Nothobranchius furzeri: one gene and its partners. The protein of the gene in region 4 interacts with the protein of the main gene of each other region in a pairwise test. Links are inferred from orthologs where the notes say so. Each region holds a gene or a part of one and is shown on either strand. Other genes may lie near its edges.

Region 1 (6,682 bases), on a different chromosome or scaffold from region 4:
AAACCTCGGAAGACTGATTTTATCACTCCAGAACATGTTTGTAAAACTTTCCCTTTAAAACTGATTAATCCAAGTCATCTTTGAGTTTGAATACAGGTCAATGTGAAGGAGGACTTCATACCTTCAGATTATATTAGATTTGAGTCATTTCAATATAAACTACAGTATCTCCTATGAGAAGTTCTCCTTGGTTCTCAAACTTGACTTTGATAATAAACTCAATAATCTCTAAAACAGATGGAATTTCTTCTTGGTTTCTGAAACCAGTGTGTTGTCTCCTTCCAGCTCGTCCAGGGATGCTGGATTTCACTGGGAAAGCTAAATGGGATGCCTGGGAGAAGCAGAAAGGTTGGAGATCATTGTTTACTGCTGTCAGTGTTTCCAGAGCTGCTGGGGCTACAATGTAGCTCATCACCGTGTGTGTGTGTGTGTGTGTGTGTGTGTGTGTGTGTGTGTCTGTGTACGATGGTACTGTAAAGCACTTTGTAATCTCCACGATAAGTGCTACAAAGATGCAGGCCATTTACTAAATATAAAGGAAGTCACTGTTGAGACTTTGGGTTATTTGATGAGTTTTAAGTCTATGTTTTCTCTTTTGACCAGGCAAGAACAAGGAGGATGCCATTAGTGAGTACATCAAGCTGGTGGAGGAGCTGAAGCAGAAGTATGGAATCTAAAAATGACCGTCTGGACTCGGACCTCTCTACCCAGCCCTCTTCATGCCAATGTAGTGAAATGCCTTAAAGCCTGAGGAGCTCACTCTTGGTGACAGGATGAGCGATCATGAAGGCCTCATGAACCACCAGTCCTGTTCTGAGTTCATTCTAATGCCTGTGAGAACCTGTCTTTCTATGCTCTGATCAGCCTGTTTCAAAATAAAAGGCCTTGTCATTTTACACTGTGTGTTCTGATTCTTCGGTGAGAGTAACTAAATCTGTTAATTTATATTTTATTTTTTTTCTCCAGAAAACTATATAATTATAAAAATGTTGAATGTGGGAAATTCCTCTCCCAGTAAACCAGGCAAATATGGCTGCAGATTTACACCTGGAAATCTGCAAGCAGCTTCCCTGAAAATATAGGGAAACTCACCATGATGGGGAGTGCACATATAAACCTGAGCTGCTCGCTCAGATGTCGCAGGTGAAGCACAGGCACCACCACTGCTGTTGTCTGGTACTGATGGTTGCTGTCATCAGGACATGACAAAGACTTTTATCCTAGCCCAACACGAACAAGGAGTGGACAAGCTGACTGCCACCTACACTTGGTAGCAAATGACCAATGATTGTGTTGTAACATCCTCCATGTGTCTGCTCGCTGTCAGAGACTCTCTTGGTCAGCTTGCTCCCCACACCAAACCTTCTGTCAGGAATCTTGGCGTGACCTTTTACCCAGCTCTCACTCTGGATTCTCATGTCAGTTCTCTTGTTCGCTCTTCCTTCTTCCATCTCAGGAACATTGCTAAGCTGAGTCCCATTCTGTCCCGCTCTGAACTTGAGACAGTTGTCCACACCTTCATCTCCTCACGCTTAGACTACTGTAACTCTCTTTTCACGTGTCTGAGCAGAACCTCCCTGAACCGTCTACAGGTGGTTCAGAATGCCTGTGCTCGGCTTCTGACCAAGCCCTCCAAACACACCCACATCACCCCGCTTCTCCTCCAGCTTCACTGGCTGCCAGTCAACTTCAGGATTCATTTCAAGATCCTGGTTCTGGTCTATAGGGCCTTACATAGACAAGCACCATCTTACATTGGTGATCTTCTCAGTCCCTACACCCCCAGCAGGTCCCTGAGGTCCAGTGATCAAAGCCTACTGGATGTGCAGCACCAGGCTAAAGACCAAAGGTGACAGATCATTTGCTGCTGTGGCCCCCAGACTCTGGAACTCTCTCCTCCTGAGCCTGAGATGAGTGGACTCAGTGGTCTCCTTTATAAAACAGCTGAAGACTCACTTGTTCAAGCTGGTTTTTGCATGACCTTCTTCACCACTCTCTTTATTCTGCTCTCCCCACCTATTCCACCTTCCTCAGGATCCACTGATTTCCCTCTTTCCTGTTCACTCTCTCTCTTTCTTAACATTTTTTAATCACAATTGTCTATTTTTGCTCATTTTAAATATATTTTTAAACATTTTCTAAATGCTTTATGTTTTTACAATTTTTGTTTTTGTGAAGCGCCTCGTGATTTTTATCTTGAGAGGCGCTATAGAAATGATATTTTCTTCTTCTTCTTCTTCTTCTTCTTCTTCTTCTTCTTCTTCTTCTAACATTCACCAAGGGAGGAACTCAACCTGTAGGTACAAGAGGAGAATGTGTCTTGAAGAATTAGGAAGTTCCCTAGTTAAGGCACACTCTGAGCTGCCTCAGCTTTAAGGAAGCTGCACCGAGCTCTCCATCCACGCCCACAGGAAGAGCATCAGTGTCAGCAAACGCCTGTATCAACAGCTACAGTCGTAACCCTGTTAGACCCCATGATTCTAAAAGAAAGGGATGTTAAGGCACATCTAGCATCAGCAGCAGAAACACACACTGCTGTCATTGCAAAAAAAAATTATAATAATAATTCAGCCAAACCACTAAAAGTTGCACATTTTGCCACACATGCATCAAAACACACACGTGCATGTTCTTACACAGAGACATTTTATCGACCTAGAACAAATATGCCGTGCCTCTGCTGAAAACATGAGCTCTGCTAAGATCACCTTAGAGGGATTACTCTGATGCACATGCATACCACTGCATGGCCTTGCACCATTTTAGGTTATTTGTTTAACCTTGCAAATCTACATTTTATTAATGTCTTGCCTTGTTCCTGTGGTAAGTAAGACTTTAAATTGACCTGTAACACCACAGATGTTACCATAGCTGTAAGAGGCCATAATACAAATACTAAAAACCAACTTCTCATGGATACAGACTAACAAGAAACACATTGGATGATAAATAATAATATATTAAATAGATATTTTTAAATAGAAACATAAAGCTAACACAAGAGGAAGGACCTGTGCTGTGGGCGGAGTTTGTCAGGGTTCTGTTTCCAGTAACTCCGCAGCTGCTCAAAAAAAGCACAGTGAAGGCTCTGGTGAGTTGACAGCATTTTCTTATGTCGTTATTATGAGTTTTGCTGAGAATTGCTGCAAGCCAATTTTTTTTTCAGAATCTTTATTTATAATCTTTTTTGTTGTTAATTATTATTATTCATTTGCTTTTTAACAATCTTTCATTTTATTGGTTGCCTTTTAATCATGTTTTAAGTTTGATGTGGTTTCCTTGGTGATTATTTCTGTGATGCTTTATAAATAAGCTTTACGTACTAATCTACAGACAGAACTGCACCAGAAGTACTGTTGGTTCAGGACCTCATTAAACTGAAGGCTGTCTGGGTTGGTCACCTTTTAGGGAACATGAGTGAGGCCAGTTTTCTGAAACTGTCTTTTGTTTGGTTTGAAAGCTCATTAAATGATTGTGTCTGAAACTGGATGAACTTCCCAGTTTGTGGTTTTAAACAACCTGTTGAGGTTTTCATGTTGGATGAACAAAGCAAAATCCAACTTTAATTGTTTTGTTTTAAATACTCTGTCAGAAGTGTTTCCTTTTTGAGAATAGAGCAATAAAACAGGAAGTTAGTGGGGTTGTGTGAATACTTCTGTTTTCAGGAGAGATTGCCCTCTTTTGGAAATGAAAGTAGCTTCATGGCAAAATGTGATTGTTTTCCTGTGTTTTAAATAATAGCCCACTGATATTTTGCAAACTTGATGGTGCCTTGACCCATCCCTGTGGGACACCAGGGTGATGCTCATGTGAACTGGCAGGTTTTACAGAATGTTTCTAACTTGAGTCAGAGCAGATGTCACATTACTGTGTTTCAGGTTTAAGTTTAATAACTCAAGTTAAGATTCAGGTAAACAGAGGATTCAGCTGAACCGGTTAAGCCCGGGTGAGAAACAGGAAGTTACAGTAACTCAGTTAGATCTTCAGCCTCCAGCTGCTTCCTTTTATGGTGTGAAGTCGTGACAAACTGCAACCGTTCGCTTTTAGTTCATCACAGAACTCTGTGGCTTTTACACACAGCTGCATCACATCACAGATATTTTGAGCCAGCGGCAGAGCATGTATGAATGTACATTTGGTGTATGTCCATCTTAGAACTGGACAAATCTTGTATGTTGCTTTATGCAATGAAAATAAAGTATTCTATTCCATTCTTGCTGGTTCATTTTGTTTAGATTATTGTAAAAAAAATAAAATAAAAAAATACAGCATGGAGAGAATTCTGTCTGAAATGCTTCAGCCACACTGAAATTACCCACCAGGAAGAGCACACCAGACAAGAGAACATCCCATATCAGTCCCCACCACATGCATGTTATCCTACAAGGGAGCATTGGCTCAGTCTCCCTTTCAGACATTACTCATCTATTGGTTTAAACACAAATGAAATCAACATTATGAAAGGTGAATCAAAAGAAAAAATTCTGGATGTAAACGACAATGAAGAAACTAAAAAAATCCTGAAGAAATTTTGAAGGGGCCAGCCAGCTGGGGCGTGAAATTGTAGGGGGCAGAAGAACCGTGTTAAGAGTATTCTGCTGTGCCACCATGAACCAGACAGGAGTGTGATCAAACAAAACTAATACTTGGAGTGCATGGTATGGTGCTTATTTCCTATGTATTTCAGGAAAAGCTCCCTAATCAATATTTTACTAAACTTTTAATCAAAGGCTAAAAATGGAACCTAGAATGAAATATACATAGAATATGTGGGACAATGAGTCAGGCTGGGAATTTGAGACCATCCCAGGCCACCACCTAAGTAATGCAAAAGGTGTCACTGATGTCAGAGTGTAAAACAACTAAATGAAGGCTGCACATATGCAGCCGGTTGATGTTGTACAGTGTCCATTTTCACACTTTAGAGAAGGTCATCTGATATAATGTCCTTGTTGGCCCTTCATAGGTGTTTGTTACTGTCGTGTTGTTGTAAAGGTTTTACCATCAAGCAGGCAATGAAACTCCTTAGAAACACTCATGGAGGAAGCTTTATTAACCCACCCTGCCTGCTGGTGGTGGCCGGAGGGACCGGTGGCGGCTGTTAAATGCAGACAGCTGTCAGTGTGCCCCAGGGCAGCTGTGGCTACAATGTAGCTCATCACCACCAGGGTGTGAATAGGTGTGTGAATGGGTGAATGACTGATTGTGTTGTAAAGTGCCTTGGGGGGTTCCAGGACTCTCAAAGGCGCTATACCAAATACAGGCCATTTACCATTTACCATGGAGTCTTTCTCCCGTCGGTCATCTACCGTTCTTCTGGGTCACATTCACATCTTTTTTTAACTGATGTCAAATAAATAAGTGTATCATTGTTATTTCCGTAGGTAAATGGCATAATAACGGAGGATGCAACTTGTTCCAGTCTGAGTTCAGCAGCATCTGTTTCTCCTGTGTAACAGAAAACTCGTGGAAACTGGTGACTGTGCACCACTTTAACACACGTCTTTTAAAGGTACGTGACTAAAAATCGATGAATGTGTCAAAATAAATAAATCACTTGAAAAAAAAATCATAGTTTAATATGAACAAATGTGTTGAAGGGGCTTTGGTCTGAATCCTTCATCAGTAACAGCGAACTCTTACAGAACATGCCAGTGTGTTGAACTTTTACAGCTACATAATCAACAGGCACTGGCATCTGATGTCTAGGTGTTCCCTTCCTGTTTGCTAACAGCTGCCGGCGTAATCAATGTTAACACAAGTCACATGTAAAGGTGTAGTCCCAACCCTGCTTCAGTCTACCATATGTTTTCCACTGCACCTCCTTTTTCAGTTGTTTCCATTAGGAGGAAGGATAGTAAAACACTCATCTTTTTTGCTGTCACTACTTAGCTTACATAGTTCTGTTGGGAGGAATACTAAACAAAAATGTATTCTGCTCACCACTAATGGAGGGTCACGTACCTGTGGTGGTCTGTGACGTTGTGTACGTGGTTGCAATTATTAAACTGTCAATGAAATATGAAAGGTATTCAACAGATGTGATGTTCCTAAAAATTATTAATCAATAATATTATCGAGCCTTTAATATCCAGTTGACACTGGAAACAGTTGACTTTGGGTAGCCAGGGAACCAACACTTACCAATAATTTGACACAGACGTAAATAGTTTATAAAAATCTATTTATTACTATATTTCTAATGATCATACAGAATAAGTGTAGATAAATGGCTATTTAAGGTAAAATCAACTGAGACAATAACCAAACTTAAATGAAACTTTAGTTTCTAATTAAGTGTTTTAGAAAAGGATGTGATATCTGGGATTATAAAAATAATCTGGCTAAAAGCAGTGATGTTTAATTAGTTATCAAATTAATTAAAACCCATCAAAAGCCAGTGTGCAGAGCTATGGTACCCGTGTGATGAGGGTTCTTGGCGATGCGGCGGGTGGAGAGTCTTCTGAGTAAAAGAGTTGCTTGACTTCTAGATATCAAAGGCCGTAGTCGTCTGAATCTGCACGGCTGGTCAGTGAGATGCTCCCCTGGGTGACTGCTGGAAGCTGGCGGGTCATTTTGCATCTGATGCAGTTTTGTTAAACAATTAATAGTTGTTTGGTTTATAAAAAGGATGGTTCGATGCCGCTAAAAATTTTCTGTTAAAAAACCTGGTTTGATCTTC
Region 2 (6,518 bases), on a different chromosome or scaffold from region 4:
CTACCTAAAGGCAAACAAGTAATGATTAGTAAGTGTGGAATTTATTCATTGTATGTATTTCTCAGGGGGATTTGATAAGCCAGCAGTTTTTCAAAAGACAGCAAACATCTTTTGTGTTTTTCTTCTGACTGCTTTTTTAGCTTATTTTTGAAACACGGGGAAGGTTTTTTACCTTGCTGACAGTTTTGATCGTGACGCCACTGAGCGTCAGCTCTGAGGAAGATCGCAGACACTTCTTAGGGCAACTTCCCACTGCCTCCTTCTTTCTCCATCTTTGAGAAATCTTAAACAAGAGACAAAATGTAGGCAGCTTTATAAATCATTCTAAATAGTTTACAGCCTTTTCCTTTAACATGAACATAAGACAAACAATAGTTAAATAAATGGTGTCAAGACAGAAACATGCAATGATTGATTAACCAAGAAATCTTGAATTCAAGCAATTAACCTTTTTAAAATCACAGTTAGCTGATAGATCTTAAACTTTGCCATCACTGTTATTTCTAAAAAGCAGTTAAAAGCAAAGCAGATGACAGAGACTAATCAGCCTAACACAGTTGAATGTTTTTGTTAAATCTTACGAATGAAAGGTGATCCCACGTTGCCGTGATTGAAGACATCGTCTATTAGAGCATCCATAGGCAGCACAAAAGTCATGCTTGTTGGGTTTCACGTGTATTTCTGTAAAAACAAAGCCAGCAATTTCCGCTATTTTAATATACTTCAGTCTAAGTTTTTTACATTTTTTTTACAAAGTAAGCCGCCTGGAAAACAAGGGCAATTTTACCCTCAGCTTCCACTGAGGTAAAAACGTTGTAGCTAAGCGGCGCAGCCACGGCAGCCTCGTCTTCTCTAAGCCAAGTTAGACAGCTAATAAACACTAAAACATCCACCAAGACAGCCATTTAGACAAACATTAGGTTTACGTACACTTCTTACTTTCGTTGAACCATACGAACCCTATAAAAATATTGATTGTGGTCTCTCTCTCAACCTAACGCGCAACATAGCTTAGCCGGGACACATTGTTCACAGTTATGTCGTGTTTCAAAAGTAATAACGGTAATTTCTACATGTGTAAGTTTCCCGCATCAAGTCTATGTATCATACGGTTTGTAATGAGGCAAACCGTTTGTAAATCCGTTAATATTTCATTGAGTTATGAGTATTTTTATTTGAGCCGTGCACTCACCCTCAGCTAGAGAACGGTTAGCTGTCCGAAGTAAGAGACCTATGGTGCCAACTAGAACCACAAAACTGTTAAGTGTAGTTTCTGGTCAGCAGAGGGCAGCAGAGTGTCAATGTCGAGCAGATCAAGTTTCTGACTCAAGAAGCACTGAAACCAGTTTGAAAGCAACATCATTAAAAACTAACTAGTGCTATTTTAACCTCATGTAGACTAGTTTTTTTGCTATATGCAGCACTTCCAATATTAGGACTAGTATATTCATCAGAAATGTGCAAATATTCAGTTCTACACCTGTCTTCTATCCTCCGGTGGAGGATCTACAGATGACATGGACCAGTTTAATCTCGACATATAATTAATTTAGGTACTGGTTGACCCGAATAGCTGTAAAAACATTTAAAGCACAATAATGACATTTAAAAAATAGAATGAAACTGTATTTTCCCCACACACAACAGACAACTTGATAAAGAATATTTAGAATCACACCCAGAAGAATTTTAGATCTTGATTCATGCTACAAACATATAATCACTTCCCATTTGTCAAGTTGTATTTACAAAAATAATGCACACCTCTTGTGTATTTATCCGATTTATCCCACTAAATCCATTCAATTCAAAAAGCTTCAAGAACTGCAAATCTGCAGGAAAATCTTGCATTTGTTTGCAACAATTTGCATTTTGAAATGACCGAAAAGCTAAAAAATCGACCAGATGAACTGTGAATAAAACAAACTGTTTTGCACAAGCAAATCATGTCAGTTACTAAACCACTTCTTTTTTTTAAAAGCAAGAACCTCAAATGTGAAGCATGTGGGTGGAAGTGTTATGATCTGTGGATGCAGAGAAATCAGCAGAAGTAACAAGTGAAACAACACATTTTGCATTTAAAACCAGAAACTCTTATGCACATTGACAAATCAACTAATAAAAAGAAGTAAAAGGGTTATTGAACTAGACAGATAAAACCCACTTAGTTGTTGCTGGGGGGGATTTGAAACAGGCAGCATATGTGAGGAAACTGGTAGACAAATATGCAAATTATAAAGACACTTGAAACAATGATGCTTCTGCAAAAGGGCTGAGGAGCTGCTGAAGACGAGGATATTAGTTTGTACAGAAGAACACACATCTGTGGATGCCTATTTAAAAATGCACATTTTCTTTGCAAAAAGAGGATAAAATGTCCAAATTTTAGCAGAAATTAAACAGATCTTGAGTCTAGTTTGTCACAGCTTGTCAAATAGCTTTATTTTTTAATGAAAAAGACAGGGTTTGGTGTTCAGAACAGATAACTAAAATGTTTTTTTGGACGCGATGTAATATCTAATGGGGTGGCTGGGGATTTGCAGCGTCCTCTGAAATGTTCCAGACAGTCTCGTGATCAGCTGGCCAGCGGAGGATCAGTGGAACGGAGTGGATTACTGTGACGCAACCTATTATTTCAGGAATCTTTCATGTGTTTTTCTAATGCACTGTTGCTGAAACAGTTTTCAGGTTTCCATGAAGACATTTAAAAAATCACAAGTGTTGCAGAGAGAGAAGTTCCTTTAACTCGTTTACCACAGTCTCCCTGACTTCTGTCCGGCCCAGTGTGTGATTGTTCATCTGATCCAACCATGTCTGATGCTTTTAGCCCAATGACCCATGCTATGTGTTTTAAACGTTCGAATCTGGCCCCTGAGCCTTTTGTCCGCCCTCACAAGACAAGTCTGCCTGCTTGGCAGAACACAGGGACCGAGGCTTAGCCCATTGAGAAACGGAGAGTGAAAAAGTGTGCAAGCAGGTGCTGCTGCGGGAGTGAGGTGGCAACTTTTCATGCATTGCTGCTTTCTGACAGACCATAAATCGAATTGCTATGACTACAAAAAGTAAAGGGACTCTTTGAAGGGGGGAATTAGACACAATAGCATCAGCACTCTTCCTCTTTTCCCCGTTTCGAGACAGCAGAGCAGCACTTCTAAAGAAAGAGAGAGAAAAAGCTGAAAGGAGGTGAACAGGAAAATAGGTGCGTGGTAGGCTGTGATCTGCAGATGCAGGTCCGCCACAACCCTCACATGACGTGGATTTCCGCTGTCACACATTTGGCTTTTGGCAGCACAGCGGGTCAGGGCCACACAATCACAGAAGAGCCGCTGCAGCGGGACAAGATGATGCTTTGAGAACAAACTCCACTTAAACACCATGAATTTTAATGGACTTCAGCGGGAGAGCAGCCAGGAGGTGCAGGAGAACAGTCTGAAGAAGAAGCCTCTGTGGTACCGGCGCTCACTGAGGGGGAACACTGATCGACACCGACAGAACGCTGGAACTCAACCTAGAGCCTGCAAGGTGAGACGACAAGCCAATTGCTGTTTGTATAAAGCATGATCTTTAACACGGCTTTTTGTCAAAACTGGTTCATAACTGCAAACTTCACACAAGGATTAGCTAAAGAACATTTTAATGAAAGGTTGAAATATTTTTGATTATTTTTTAAAAGAAACGTTTTTTCCCATCTGCAGCCCAAGCCAACCACCACCTCACTGGTTGATTACTCAGACCCACAAAGGTAAGCAGACCAGAACGCTCCGTTTTAGATTTATTACATACAAAAGTTCGCATCGCTCAATTATTCTTGCAACAATCTTCTGCACAGAACCTCAACCGTTTTGGAGAAGCACGACAATGAAACATTCGGATTTGAAATCCAGGTAAGCTCTACTTTAAGCGTAGTAAAATGCACATTCTGCTTATGATGGAGATGATAGTTTTGCATGACAGTGCTTTTTTGTGTGATCCTATTGTTTGCAGACATATGGATTGAAGCAGAAAACCAGCTCTGCAGTGGAGATGTGCACCTTCATAAGCAAGGTGAAGGAGGACAGCGTCGCTGAGAGTGCCGGGCTGACCGCAGGTAAACCACCCACATCCTCCTCCACATAGACCCAACTCAGACACGATAACCCATCAAAACTCATCCCATAATGATTTCTCACTTTATTTGTCATAGGTGATGTCATCATTACTGTCAACGGGGTCAGCATAGAAGGACTCTCTCATGAACTCGTGCTTAATCTAATACGAGAATCGACCAACAACCTAAAGTGAGAGAAAACACTGATCTTTAACAAAATGTCACTTATTTATTTAAAACTAGCATAATAACTATGTCATCATCTGGTTTCAGGATGGAGACTGGGTGTGTGAACATCCTGAAGCAGATAGAGCTGGAGAAGAGATTGGACCAACTCAAGGTGAGTCCCTTCACTGGTGTTGAGCAGCTCTAAAAAGGGCTCATCAGCCTGCAAGAGCCCACCTGGAAGCTAAAAACAGTCACTTTTTAAATAGATACGCAGCTAAAGGTCAATCCATTGCCTCTTTTCTCATTTATAATCCTTACTTTTTGAGCTGACATATTTAGTAAATCATAACTGTGATGTCTTCCACCCATGCAGCAGTCGCATCGCGAGAAGCTGATGGAGCTCCAGGCGCTCACATTACAGGAAAAACGTTTACTGCGAGGTGAGAGGCTTGGCTCAGCTGTCAGACCACAGCACTTCCTTTCTCACACATGCCTAGTCTTTTCTTCTAAAGCAGCCTTCAACATGTGAAACGCTGTTGCGCGTAAACTGTCGATGATTTTGCTGCTGGTGTTTCCCTGAGAAATCAGCATACAGCAGAAGCCGCGCATGACCTTCCGGTTGTGGAAACTTTTCCTGACAGCAACTTTGTTTTGTTTTCTCAGGTAATTTAAACAACCGCAGCCTCGACCTGCTCATGGAGGCCCAGGCTGCTCTGAATTCCCCTGTCGTTTGCCACGGCCGACGTTTCTCCAGCGACAGCAGCTACAAGAGCGGGATGACCGACGACAGCGACCAGGCCAGCGTGTTCGGGGAGCTGAGCTCGCCCAGCCCTGGCAGCGCGATCAGCACCACGGATGATGGCTGCTTCTTCTCCAGAGACTTTCCTACACAGGATGCCTCTAAGAGGCTCTCGTCCAGCAGCCTGCACCACCAAGCCCTCAGCCGCTCCAGCAGCTCCAGCTTGGCCGGCAGCAACACCTCCTTATCTCCATCCTGGGATGAGACGAGGATCTCGTCCTTGTTTGGAACTCTGCCCAGAAAGAGCAGGAGAGGCACTGTGCGCCAACAGATCTTTAAGTTAATTCCTGCACTTCAGAGATCAGTGGAAGAGGAGGAGATGGCGACACCCACTCAGTGACCTACTGGTCATCCATGTGTAGACACAACAATACGATTGGACACTTTAAAGGGGGCATCTTATGCACAACTCACTTTTTGCATCTGTTTGTGTGGCCATGTGGGTCTCTACTGCCTCTATAAACACTTGAAATGTGAAAATCAAAACCACCCGTCAATGTTTGGTTTCAGGTATTGGATGCTTAAAACAAGCCGCTTTAAAAGGCCCTCATTTGTGATGTCACAAACGGGGACATTTGCATAGAGCCCCCTCTGACATCTCCAGGCTGGAGGAGCTGTGGCTCTACTTCAAGCCCCTTACAGATATCTGAGCTTCTCAGCTTACAGCAGCTTGAGCGGGGGATGAGTGGGCGTGGCCAGCTCCAGCTTGTTTTCTTAAAGTGACAGAGACCTGAAACGGCTCATTCTGGAAGGTGCTTAAACCATCAAAACTGCTGAGATCTCTTTATGTGATATTCTTTATATGGAAATAACTTCATAAATATGTTTTGTATTGACCACAGAACTATTATAAGTTTTCTCAAACTTGGGTTTGAGTGAACCCATCAAGTGAAAAAGGACTACCTTTTTTGGGTGAAGGTTTACCTTAATGCTTTTTGAGCCTTCAGTGAGCTTCACTGAAATTACAATGAGTGGGAAAGCATTACAAAATGAATGTGTTGGATGAATGTACACCCGACAGACTGAAATGTACAGAAGATGAATTACTGTATCCTACTAACTTGAATGAGAATTTCCTTTTTGTACCTCAGTGCTAGTAGCATTAACCAGAGCAGATTGAGATTTAATAATGCGCATTCAGTTTTAAAATGTGACCTAAAGAACATTTAAGCAGACTTCCAGGTGCCCAAACCAAAACCAAATCTACACCGTACACACATATACGCTTGCTTAGTTCAAAACAGGATGTGGGCGGAAGAGTACTACTTTACTTTTCTTTTTTCTTTTCTAAAATCACTTCGAAACCACATCTGCTTCAACTGAATTTCTTTGCTCTGAAACTCTAACACTGCTAGTTTCTGCACTTACTGATGATTATACGCAAATATGAAAGTTCTGCTGTTGATTTCTGTGCATCAAATCCAGATGGTGTAAATTTATGAAGTAATTAAAAAAAAACTTTCT
Region 3 (5,314 bases), on a different chromosome or scaffold from region 4:
CTCAGCATTAAGAGGTTGGACTGGAGGGTTAAGCCACCAAATAGTTCCTGAGTGCAGCCACTGCTGCAGCTCACCGCTCCCCACGAGGATGGTTCACATGCAGAGATGAATTTCACCAGTGTATGATGACTATGGGACTTTAAAGTAATGTAGAAACATGAAAATGTACACCCTCAAATATCAGAAACACCTAGTGTTCACGGATCAAGAACTTCTTTGATGCGACTCCTCGGCTGTGTTCTTGTCAGGACCCGTCTCACCTGGTCCACGTAGACCGCAAGAACCAGATGCGAATTTGGACGGTCATGTCTTCGTATTTATTCCTGTCCCTGCTTCAACATATGTCCTGTCGCTTAGCAACAGTGACAGTGCCAAACTGAAGTTCAAACTGAACTTGATAGAAATACACGAAGAAAAATTGGACCCTCCATATTGAATTAGAATAGAATAGAATTCAGCTTTATTGTCATTGCACATGTACAGGTACAGGGCAACGAAATGCAGTTTGCATCCATCCAGAAGTGCTTTAGCCGTGATATAGATGTAGAACAATATATATTAGCAATAATATAGATGTGTAAGTATATTACAGAAATGGATCTATTACGTATGTTATAATGTACACGGTATGAATTATTTTATGCGTATTCTATGACTACAAGTATGTACAGGCTGTAGTTAATACAAGCAGTCCATGAGTTTAACGTGGGTCATATGTCAGGAGGCAGAGTTCAGGAGTCTGACAGCTGTGGGGAAGAGTACCTGGTGGTCTTAGTCCGGAGGCTCCTGTAACGTCTCCCAGAGGGCAGCAGGGTGATCAGTGCATGTGATGGGTGACTGTGGTCTCTGATGATTTTCCCAGCCCTTTTCAGACACCGCTTTCTGTAGATGTCCTTTATGGCAGGAAGTGGTGCACCGGCGATGCGCTGGGCAGTTTTCCCGACCCTCTGCAACGCCTTCCGGTCCGAGGCGGAGCAGTTCCCATACCAGACTGTTATACAGTTGGTCAGGATGCTCTCGATGGTGCAGCGATAGAAGTTCACCAGGATGTCTGAGGACAGGTTGTTCTTCTTCAGAGTCCTCAAGAAGAAGAGGTGCTGGTGAGCCTTCTTGACCAGCTTGGAGCAGTTGGTAGTCCAGGTGAGATCCTCTGAGATGTGGACTCCCAGGAACTTGAAGCTGCTCACACGCTCCACTGCCGTCCCCTTAATGTGGATGGGTGGATGTGGGTCAGCATTCCTCCTGTAGTCCACGATGAGCTCCTTAGTCTTCTCAGTGTTGAGCAGCAGGTTGTTTGTGTCGCACCACTCAGTCAGACGGTCCACCTCCTCCCTGTAGGCGGTCTCATCATCATCACTGATGAGGCCCATCACCGTGGTGTCATCTGCAAACTTAATGATGGTGTTGGAACCATCAGCAGGTCTGCAGTCGTGGGTGAAAAGGGAGTAGAGGAAAGGGCTCATCACACAGCCTTGTGGTACACCAGGATTCATTGTGACTGTTGATGAGCAGCGGTTATCCAGTCGGACATGTTGAGGGCGGTTGGTCAGGAAGTCCAGTAACCATTTGCAGGTGAGGGAACTGATCCCCAGGTCTGTCAGTTTCCTGATGAGTTGTGAGGGGTGGATTGTATTGAATGCTGAACTGAAGTCTATAAACAGCATTCTGGCGTAGGTGTTGTTGTTGTCCAAGTGTGAGAGGACAGAGTGCAGTGCAATGGAGACTGCATCCTCTGTGCTCCTGTTCTGGCGGTATGCAAATTGGTGGGGGTCCAGGGTGGGGGGGGAGACTGGATTTGAAGTGTGCTAAGACCAGCTGCTCTAAGCACTTAGTGATGATGGGGGTGAGTGCTACCGGGCGGTAGTCATTGAGGCTAGATGGGTTGGAGTTTTTGGGTATCGGGACGATGGAGCTGGATTTGAAGCAGGCCGGTACCACAGCATGGGCCAAGGACAGATTGAATATGTCTGTGAGCACACCTGCGTGCTCCCCAGAGCACGCTCTGAGAACACGCCCAGGGATGCCATCAGGGCCTGCAGCCTTGTGGACATTGATCCTGCTCAGCACCGCTTGTACATCGGTGGGGGAGAGAGTCAGAGGTTGGTGGTCTGGCGTCATGTCTGTTATGGTTGTGGTTGTGAGGTTCCCTCGCTCAAAATGAGCATAAAAGTTGTTGAGCTTGTTGAGGAAGGAAACATCAGAGGATGCGGGGGAGGGTTTGGTGATCCTGTAGTCTCTGATGGTCTGGAGTCCTTGCCACATGTGTCAGGGGTTGGAGTTGGAGAAGTGTTCTTCTATCTTCTTTTTGTAATGGTGTTTGGCTTTTTTGATGCCCTTCTTTAGATTAGCCCTGGCTGTACTGTAGGTGTGTGCATCTCCTGTCCTAAAAGCGGTGTTGCGGGCCTTCAGTAGGAGACGAACATCCCGGTTCATCCAAGGCTTCTGATTGGGGTACATGGTGATCCTTTTCTGGGTGGTGACACTGTCTGTGGTTACGGAGATGTAATCCAGTACAGATTAGGCGTACTGGTCCAGGTCTGTGTTGGTGAACATATTCCAGTCTGTGTTTTTAAATCTGTCCTGGAGCACCGCGTCTGTCCCCTCTGACCACACTTTAATTGTCCTCACAGCAGGTTTCACACGTTGGATGAGTGGTGAATACCGAAGTGTGAGCTTGCTTTCAAGTATTTTTCTTATGATTTCTGGAAAAAACATACATTTAAACATAATTACAACAACTAAACAACACAACCACTTTTAATCTTTGTACCACCATATATTATTAACCCTCTCAGGCTCAAAATAAGTTTTGATAAAAGGACAAAAAACTAAGTCCTTCAGGGGTACTTCTGAGTTAAAAAATGCTCATGAAACACGTATGTGAAGTAATCAGGTAGGTAGGTTTTAACTATTGCGAATCTGCAACGCCTGCCTCCAGAGGGTTAACCAAACATTGAAAACTTTTATCCTCTCCCACTTCGTCCACCGTTGTTACAAGAACAAAAGTCATTTTTGGCTAGCTATGAATCCTGGGATGGTGTGGGCCAGTAAGGATACACCAGAGCCATCCTTCAAATTTGGGGACAAGAAAGACAAATTTGGAGATGCCTGAATGTGGACAGCCTCTGTTGCATCACTGATGTAATCTCCCTTCTAATGCAACCTGGGAAGGATTTGGACACAGCTCTAGTTTGATGGCTCAACTTCTACGAACATTGAGCCTAATTTTGAGCTTGTGTCTCACTGGTCAGTAAAATAGCGAATGGCTCTATCACGTTAATAAATGTCATTGTTTACACGAGGCCAAATATGATTTCTCTGAGAGGAACTCCGCTGGTTCAGTTTGCTGTCTTCTGTGTGTGCAGGACACATTGAATCCCAAGTGGAATTCCAACTGTCAGTTTTTTATAAAGGACCTTGAGCAGGACGTCCTCTGCATCACTGTGTTTGAGCGAGACCAGTTCTCTCCTGATGGTCTGTAACAGTTTTTACACCATCCTGTTTCCTGTCACCCGTCCAGGTTAAAGATGCTTCAGATTTATCCTCTCATCCTGTTTCCTGCAGATTTCCTCGGCAGGACTGAGATCCGGTTGGCTGAAATTAAAAAAGACCAGGGCTCAAAAGGACCAATCACAAAGAGGCTGCTGCTCCACGAGGTCCCCACAGGGGAGATCGTTGTTAGGCTGGACCTCCAGCTGTTTGAGGAACCGTGAACCCCGAAAACTGGATTGGGCCAAAAAAGGGATCAGAGATGGGTACTGGACTCCGCAGCTGGACTGGAACAGACCAGACTGGAGACCTGCTTTGGTCTGGAGCTTTTCAAGTAGAATGTTTATATTATTCCTCATAATAATAGATAGTTGCTGAAAGGTGTCCCTGTCTAGAAATGTGGCGTGTTTGACTCCACGATTCTGTCATTTCCCCAAACTCTCATTCACTATCTAGCATATCGGGCTATCCAGATTAACTCATCTGCACCATGATGGAAATGGATCCATCTAGAAATCAAACCTAGACCAGTTTCCAGCCCAGTTGTGTCCAGTCTATTCTGCTCGTGTCCTCCTTCCGTGTGGTCCAAAGCTGAACATCAGATGGGTTTTTCCTGTTTCCTCCTGCTGCTTCAGCCAGTCTGTCCTACAGACGCTCTGGTGACAATCCCTTTGTCATCTAAACAAACTGCTGTGTGTATCCGTGCGCATGTGTGTGTGTGTGTGTGCGCGTAAGGTGGACAGGCAACGTAAAGCGCAAGTTTAGTCTACATTTTTTATGCCGCATCCTACAGACCTTTCCAAGCTACAGAACATAAAGGGACATTCAGAGGGTTGTTTTTTATTGTCTGCTGAACACTTGCCACAGGATCCTAGGAAAGGGTAAATATGTACAGTTGTATTGAGAAATACTAACAGTGCTAATAAGCTAAAGTATAGACAGATTTTTACTCCATACATGACAAGTGTCCAGTGTAGACTACAGACTACGGTCATGATGAGGTACCAGTTAAAGTTACAGTGGGTACAGTGAACAAGTTCAAAGCTGAATTAAATCAAAGTACTGGGAGGAAGAATTTCTTAACTCGTTTTTTTAATGCTTGGGACCAATATTGGTCATAGATTTAGATCCTTTCAGTCACACATCTCAAGCTGTCCTAGTGGTCGTCTCTATGCAACAAGGGAACATGCTTCTTTAAAGCGGAAGAAGCTCGTTGGTACTCCCTGGAGAAAAAATGTGTTTCTTTAAGCCATCAAAGAGACCATTTTGAGTAATCAGTGTAGGAAATATTGCCTGGAACAACACAAATATTTGAAGGCAAGTCTGTTTCATTTTAGCATAATTGTCTCTGCCTATACCTTGATACACATTTATTGTAGCTGCTCTTAGTTGCTTCCTGCCTCATGATCTCAACAGACATTAGCTGAAATAGTCTTGAACTAATGAGCTATAGTCCGACTACTATCAATCTTTTATTTGCTTTTTAAATAAAAACAAATCACTCTCTCCTCTTGATGATATCTGAAGCTTCAAATCTGAAGCCTCTGCTTCCAGGAGTCTCCAGATAAATTATCATCCCTAAATGGATCATTTAAAAATATAAATATGTTTTTCATTATTAATATTGTGAAAGATTTGCTTTTCCTCCATTTTGCTTTATTTCAGCTACAGCTGGATGTATTTGTGAGACAGCTGCAGATACATTTATTATCTAATAAAAACGTAGATTAAAAAAGTCTGTTTTAACAACACAAAACATTTCTGATCATTTGGAAGTTTTTTTCTGTGTAAAAGTTATAAATGATTGCTATCTTACTTGTTGCAG
Region 4 (6,791 bases):
AATTATTCAATTTACATGAAAAAATCACAATGTAAAATGTAAATAGTCTACAAAAACATGATGAGGGGAAAATCTCCTAACATGATTGCTGAGAGGCCCAAAATCGACTAATTCTGTGCTTGAATTAACTCAAAAAGAGTCTGAGACCTCAGACAGATGACTCATTCACATCACTATTATTTTGATGGTTTACTTTACATCTGTCTGATTTTACACTTTAACTAAATATTTGGTTTAAAACCATAACACATTTTACTAGGTTTATGTTGGTGTTGTACGGGGTTCTGGTTATTTAAATTAAAACATTTGTGATTATTTTTAAATGTTTATCATTAGACTTATGGGTATATTATTCTGAAAATTTAGGTTTAATTATGGGTATTTAGACCATTTTTAAAAGATTTAAGTTTAACATTATACACTTTCTGTTTATTCTCTATATTTAATTATTTATTGATTGATCCTAAACATCTTTTCAGATGCTTAGGATTTAAACAATTAGACATAACATTGTGATTTATTGAAACAATATTGTGAAATGGTGACAAAGTTTTCATTTTCACAAAGAGCCAAGTGTAATTACATGTAATTGTTGAAAATGCTAAAGTGGTCAAATGTAGCTGTTAATTTAAACAATCCACTACTTTAAAATCGGCCCCTCATAGAACAGTCACTCTGGGACTGGAGCGATAATAAGTGGCAGAGAAAGTTGAAAGGAGGACGAGGTCAAGTGTGAGAGAAAGGATGTCAGCTCTGTGGAGAGGAGAGGAACGAAGGAGATCAAACAGATTTAATGAACAAAAAGAAGAACGGAGACATGATGGAGAGAAAGAATGGAGAGATGTTCTGTATTAAAACAAAGGAAGGATCCTTTTTGGATGGATGTCCACCTCACTCATATGGTGTTTGTCTAGACAGCAGCCCCGCTCCTGTACAGCAGATGCAGCTTCTATTTGGGTTAGGTCTAAATAAAGGAGCCAGAGGAACAACACACCAGGGCTCCCTGACAGCTGCTGACATGTTTCACATGTTTTTACTTGAACCTGTTTCTCTGAAACATGATCGGGACACTCAGAACACTCAGCTGTTGCAGGGATACTGGCATCAACGTTGTTTGTCTGATTGTTACCTTTTTTATTCATCAGACAAAACTGCAAAGTTTAAATCTCTATTTACTTTATATATTTTGCTTCCAAGCAGAGAGATTTTTTTTATAACGTATCTTAATTTTCTCCAGGCCTTTAAAGGTTTTTAGGACCTTTTCCAGTCATTTTCTTGATGTTACGATGCAGTTTGTGTTTAAAACGATAAGAAGAGTCAAGCTGAAGACCGAGAAAAAGAAAAGAAAAATCTGTACTTTACAATAAGGGTCCCTTTATTAATGTTACCGTCATTGTTAACTATTAAGTGTCCTTAAGGAGAAAAGGCTGGGGTGGGTATCTGCTTAATAATGCATTGCATAATATGGTTAAGCAGTATTTATTTAATAATATATTAATGTTTAATAATGCATGTAACGTTAATGAATGGACCCTTATTGTAAAGTGTTACCAAAAAAATCCTGCTGAGATCCTTACACAGACCTTATAACATCATTTGTTCATTTGTACATCAAGATTTGATCCAACAGCTTTGTGAGAACCACTTCCTTGGTGCTAAAATTGTGTTCATTTGTCAAACTATTTTCTTCATTTTTTTTATTGATCCAATCAATTAAATGTGATCAATTCACTCTTTCTGAAAGGAGACTGTACCATATTGACTTGATTGTCTATTATTTATTTGCTATATGTTCTGGTGAACACAAACACACACACACACACACACACACACACACACACACACACACACACACACGCACGCACGCACGCACACACACACACACACACACACACACACAATCAGCCAAAAAGAACTGAACTATTCAGATTAAAGTTCTGTTAAAATCTTTTAAAGACTTTCTAAAACCTGGTTGATTTCTAGACCATTTAGAAGAATGCAAGAAAATTAAGCTCACTGGAAGCAAAATATGAGGGAAAAGGGATGATTAAAAACTTTTAATGAGTTAGTCCTAGCAAAATGTTCCCCTCGTCGTCAAAGAACCTTGGACTGTAATTGAGTTAATTAAGTATTTTGTGAAAATACAGGTTCTCATCTTGACTCTTCAGTCACTTTCTCCTCAAACTTTAGCATTTACAGTAAACAACAATAAAACAAAGGGCTAGAAATAAATATTCACTAACGTACATAACAAATAAGGTTTTTTTGTGAGTTTTTTGTATATTGTTGCTTTCAAACTTGTGGATCAAGTTGAACATTACTCACAAGGGCTTTAATAATTAGCAGTAATGCATCTTTCCACTCACATCTAGCTGTATGTTCAGCCTAAACCAAACTGGGCACTGAGGCGTCTGTGTGGAGGTGTGAAACAGGAGGATATAAGGTACATGTGTGTGTGCATGTATGCGTGCGTGTGTGTGTGTGTGTGTGTGTGTGTGTGTGTGTGTGTGTGTGTGTGTGTGTGTGTGTTTCCAAGAATAGTTTTTATAACAACTGTTCAAAGTGACACAGCAGTAGGCGTGTGTTTCTATAAACACTAAAGCCACCTCTACTTATTTAAACTCCCCTTTGACAGAACGGTGTGTGTTTTTAATGTTTATATTTATTTGGATGTGTGCAGCAGAGGAAGAGAGAAGCTGAATTCGGGAGAGGTCAAGTGGTGTGAACAACAGCGAGGAGGGAGGGAGGAGAGAGAGCAGAGTGGAGAGTATTTCTCTGAGAGTTTGTCAGAGTCTGGTGGCGCTTGGGAAGAAAACACGGATGCTTCTTTCTTCAAGGGACCAGAGTCCACAGATGCTTCAGGGAGAAAAGCAGCAGGATGCTGAGAGGATTCTGCTAACCTGAGTCGGTTTGTTTTTGTTGTAAATCAGTGACTGTGTTGTGATGGGGACTGTGAGTGAGCTGTGTGCGTCCAGTTTCCAAGCTTTTCTGTGTCCTGCAGTTCGAACAGGGACACCTGCTGCTGCTTCAGGTGAGTGATCCTTAATTTTAAACACTTAACATGTTTTAACTTGCTATAATCTTATAGTTTAAATGTTTGAGATAAAAAAATGTGCTGCTTTTGTTTGATGAATGGAAAACAAAGTATCTCCAGTGTTTAGTTGCCGTGGTGATTTTTCAGGATGAAGCTTTCTTTCTCTGTGTGTGTGTGTGTGTGTGTGTGTGTGTGTGTGTGTGTGTGTGTGTGTGTGCCATGCTGTGTTTCTGACATTTCTGCGTTCATGTGTACACATGAGTCAGTGCGTGTGTGTTTTGTGTGAGAAGGTGGGCTTGATTTGAGAACATGACGCACGCCCCTCATCATCCTCGCCTGGTCCAGGATCCTCCTCTCCAGTGGGTGCTGGAGTGACATAATCTCCATCACTGCCCACTGCTCTCCCTCCGTGCAGGTGCCTTTTTTTTTGCGTCAACGCACTTGTTCAAAAGCCATCATTGTGCTTTGAAAGGAGCCTCACACGGGTTAAGTTCATTTCCCTTGCAGTTTTCATGAATATAGCTGCACTCTGTAGTTTCTATTGTCCGAATTTACATTTTGTTTTAAGCTTTGAAGTCACTAAAACAGGGAAGATTTCACCAATAATCCCTTTTAGATATTAAGAAGACTCCCTCTTATGGCTTATACTGGTCAAACTTAGTTTAAAATTATATCTGTACCCTTAGACGCCATTATTTCAGCAGAAAGGACAAACCTCAGCAGACATTTGTCCAATTTAAAATAAAAAGTCAAATTAATTAGATATGCTGGTAAAGGTTCTCAGTCATCCAGTTCATGGGAATCCAAAAGGGTTCAAATGAAGACACCAGGGGTCTCATTTATCAAACATTGCATAGAATCCTTACTAAAACCATACTTAAGCTCAGCAAAAAAAATGTACTTACGCCAAGTAGGTATGTGATCTATCAAACATGGAGTACGCACAGCTGCACGCAATCTCTGCTTCATAAATCAGAAACTATCTAGAAAGGTTCTCAGTTGCTTTTTAGTCACATCCCGCCCTCACCATGCCCACTTACTGCCATAAATAGTCAATGCAAATTGCCTTGTGGATCTCATGCATATACATATGCCGGCTGTTGCAGCATTTTGATCACGACCGCAGATCAAGGAAGCGCTATTTCATAAGCAGAAGTTGAGGTACCTGTGGGTGAGGCAGAGACATGAAAGGAAGTGCTTTTGCAAAACAAATAAGAAAAAATCCGGAGTCACACAATGTTGCCGAAGCCGTCAATGCTGAGTTCTTCAGAGAGATCTGTGGCGGACATAAAAAAAAATTATCCAATCAGGATTTGATCCCCAGACTCCCAGGTAAAATTCGCACACGCTAACCAGTCACCCAAACGGAAATCTCCCCTGTACATGTAGCCAGGGTGCATGATCAATCGGGTCACAGTGACAGGACACACACTGTCACAGACACATGACATTCTGTTTCAATCTGTCTCCCTGCTGACATTCTGCATTACGTATTCTGTGCTTCAAACTGTGTGTGTGTGTGTGTGTGTGTGTGTGTGTGTGCGTGCGTACGTGCGTGTGTGTGAGTGTGCGCGCATGTGTGTGTGCGCGCACATGTGTGTGCATTTTGGGGGGGTCTTGTTCTGTGTGAAAACAAAGCAGTACAAGTGATAATGCTGCTGGATTTCATAATTTTATCCTTCTCAGCAGCAGCACTGCAGGTACTCTCCATGTCCAAAACGTGCGTAAGCCAGGTCCTTAGTCAACTTAAAGTTGCGCACATTTTTCCGCTAAGTTTTCTTTCATAAATCCCAAAGTTTGCGTGGAAAGTCGCTTATGCAGTTTTCGACCCTGTTTTGTGCGTAACATAGTTTGAACCAAAGTGGGAGGAATCATCATCATTAGTGACATGTAGTAGCTACTGGTCAGTGATCAGTGATATTAGACGCTCCTGCTCCCCTCTGATGACCTCGAGGATAGAGCAGACTTTATTTAGTGGAAAGTCACTTGTTACAGCAGCACCAACACTTAAGAGAATAATTAGAAGAAAAATAATAACAAGGGTACGTGTATACACACACACACACAGGCTTCTTCACTTCAAACACAAAAGCATCTGCTTTAATTAGAAAAACTTTAACACCAGTAATTAGGCAAACCAAAGGAAAGTTGTGTTCTTTAGGCTGACCCATTACACTTCAGCAGCTCTTTCTCACCACACCTCGACATATCCTGTTTCTGGTGTGTCCAATCTACACATAAAGCAGCGATTCAATCACACAGCTGCAATCCTTTGCCCTCTTTTTCCTCTGTCCTTCACTACACCCTTTCCTCTCCCTTCCTTACATTCGTTCACACACCACCGGTCCATCAGCGACAGCCGATCTGCCCCCTCGCCTTCACACTAATGAGTCTGAATGTGTTGCTTCACTTCAGCAGGTGGGGGCTGTTATTTTAATGTCTTTTTTACAACACATATCTGGTCAAGCCCTGTTTCCTCTTCCTGGGGAAATGTGGAAAAAGTTACCTGACTGCCAACTTGCTGAACAAAAGTTACACAAATCCAGATTGAAGACAAATTATAAGATTTTTTTGAATAAGTTCACATATTTATTTGTTTTTATTTATTAATTAATCACTGCAACTGCTAAAGATGTCTATCTGGAAACTGCTGGTAAACTAACTTTATGTATTTAGAATAGATTACTGAGCCAAGAAATAGAAACAATAGACAATAAAACTCATTCCTTGGAGAACTGCTTAGATCAGGGGTCTGCAGCTTGTCTAGTTAATGCAAAATTGTGATGTATTTGAAAAACAAAGAAAAGTAAAAGTGAAATGTTGTTTTTATCAAGCGTTTTAAAATCTTGGAAGAAAATGTGTTAGTCACAATTAAATATTCCACAAAATGGCCTCAGTTTTATGCTCACTCTACTTTCAAGCATGCTTAATTATTTAAAGAGTGAAATAGTTTTTTTTTGCAGTAATAAAATAATCACATAGACTTTCATAATTAAGTGTTTTGTTTGTTCTAAGAAATTTTTCACCAGAAAATGTTTTGTTCCCTTTTGACAAAAGTTTAATTTGCACATAAGTCAACAATATACAGTAGTTCATTGATTTCAAACTACAGTTTTTAATTTATATAGGTTGTTAAATAATATTTATCTTTTTTCATTAATTTTCAACTTCAAGCGTATCTTGTAGCTCAGAACAAATTTGATCAAGAGAGAAAAAAGGCAGAAGCAGCTCTGATTGTGAAGACCAAAGATGAATAAAATACATAGTTTATTTAAATCAAACAAAATTTTCTAGGAAGTTTTTTTAAGATCTAAAATCTGGGGATTTAATAAATCGGTGAGACTTGGAAACAGTTTTGTAGCAGCTGTTGCAATGAGACAGTGATAAACAGTGATTCATGCTGACATCAGAATGTTTCTGGAAAACTGGAAAGCCTACTAAACCACAAAGCAGGTGTAACAGTCACATAAATTTAAAATATCAATAATTTTGATATAATTTTGAATTCAGAAAATACTTTAAATAAAACAAAATTGCCCTTTTAATTGCAAGTGACCACCTTATTTATGTTTTTGCATATTATGTAATTGCACCCTAAACCGAAACTTATGTAACAAAGTAAAACAAGATAGATAGATAGATAGATAGATAGATAGATAGATAGATAGATAGATAGATAGATAGATAGATAGATAGATAGATAGATAGATAGATAGATAGGCGCTCTCTGATTGGTTGCTGTAGATTGAGGCCCCGC

What was found.
Region 1: the proteins of cyth1b (region 4) and itgb2 interact in a two-hybrid assay, tested with the Homo sapiens proteins (2 studies listed by BioGRID). The link is inferred for Nothobranchius furzeri from reciprocal best matches to the Homo sapiens genes CYTH1 and ITGB2.
Region 2: the proteins of cyth1b (region 4) and cytip interact in binary tests that used the Homo sapiens proteins (3 or more experiments, as listed by UniProt). The link is inferred for Nothobranchius furzeri from reciprocal best matches to the Homo sapiens genes CYTH1 and CYTIP.
Region 3: the proteins of cyth1b (region 4) and itsn1 interact in a two-hybrid assay, tested with the Homo sapiens proteins (2 studies listed by BioGRID and IntAct). The link is inferred for Nothobranchius furzeri from reciprocal best matches to the Homo sapiens genes CYTH1 and ITSN1.

What each region holds. Positions count from the first base shown.
Region 1 is NC_091746.1:33,743,063-33,749,744, reverse strand, and holds the start of itgb2 (integrin beta-2), read left to right. Parts: upstream 1-3,001; 5' UTR 3,002-3,091; intron 3,092-5,384; 5' UTR 5,385-5,512; intron 5,513-6,682.
Region 2 is NC_091754.1:18,854,868-18,861,385, reverse strand, and holds the start of cytip (cytohesin-interacting protein), read left to right. Parts: upstream 1-2,837; 5' UTR 2,838-3,375; coding exon 3,376-3,522; intron 3,523-3,695; coding exon 3,696-3,742; intron 3,743-3,829; coding exon 3,830-3,884; intron 3,885-3,984; coding exon 3,985-4,087; intron 4,088-4,183; coding exon 4,184-4,277; intron 4,278-4,360; coding exon 4,361-4,427; intron 4,428-4,628; coding exon 4,629-4,695; intron 4,696-4,918; coding exon 4,919-5,394; 3' UTR 5,395-6,518. UniProt on the Homo sapiens protein: By its binding to cytohesin-1 (CYTH1), it modifies activation of ARFs by CYTH1 and its precise function may be to sequester CYTH1 in the cytoplasm.
Region 3 is NC_091752.1:40,905,464-40,910,777, reverse strand, and holds the end of itsn1 (intersectin-1), read left to right. Parts: intron 1-3,365; coding exon 3,366-3,474; intron 3,475-3,564; coding exon 3,565-3,713; 3' UTR 3,714-3,933; downstream 3,934-5,314. UniProt on the Homo sapiens protein: Adapter protein that provides a link between the endocytic membrane traffic and the actin assembly machinery. Acts as a guanine nucleotide exchange factor (GEF) for CDC42, and thereby stimulates actin nucleation mediated by WASL and the ARP2/3 complex.
Region 4 is NC_091756.1:44,727,461-44,734,251, reverse strand, and holds the start of cyth1b (cytohesin-1b), read left to right. Parts: upstream 1-2,712; 5' UTR 2,713-2,943; coding exon 2,944-3,031; intron 3,032-6,791. UniProt on the Homo sapiens protein: Promotes guanine-nucleotide exchange on ARF1, ARF5 and ARF6. Promotes the activation of ARF factors through replacement of GDP with GTP.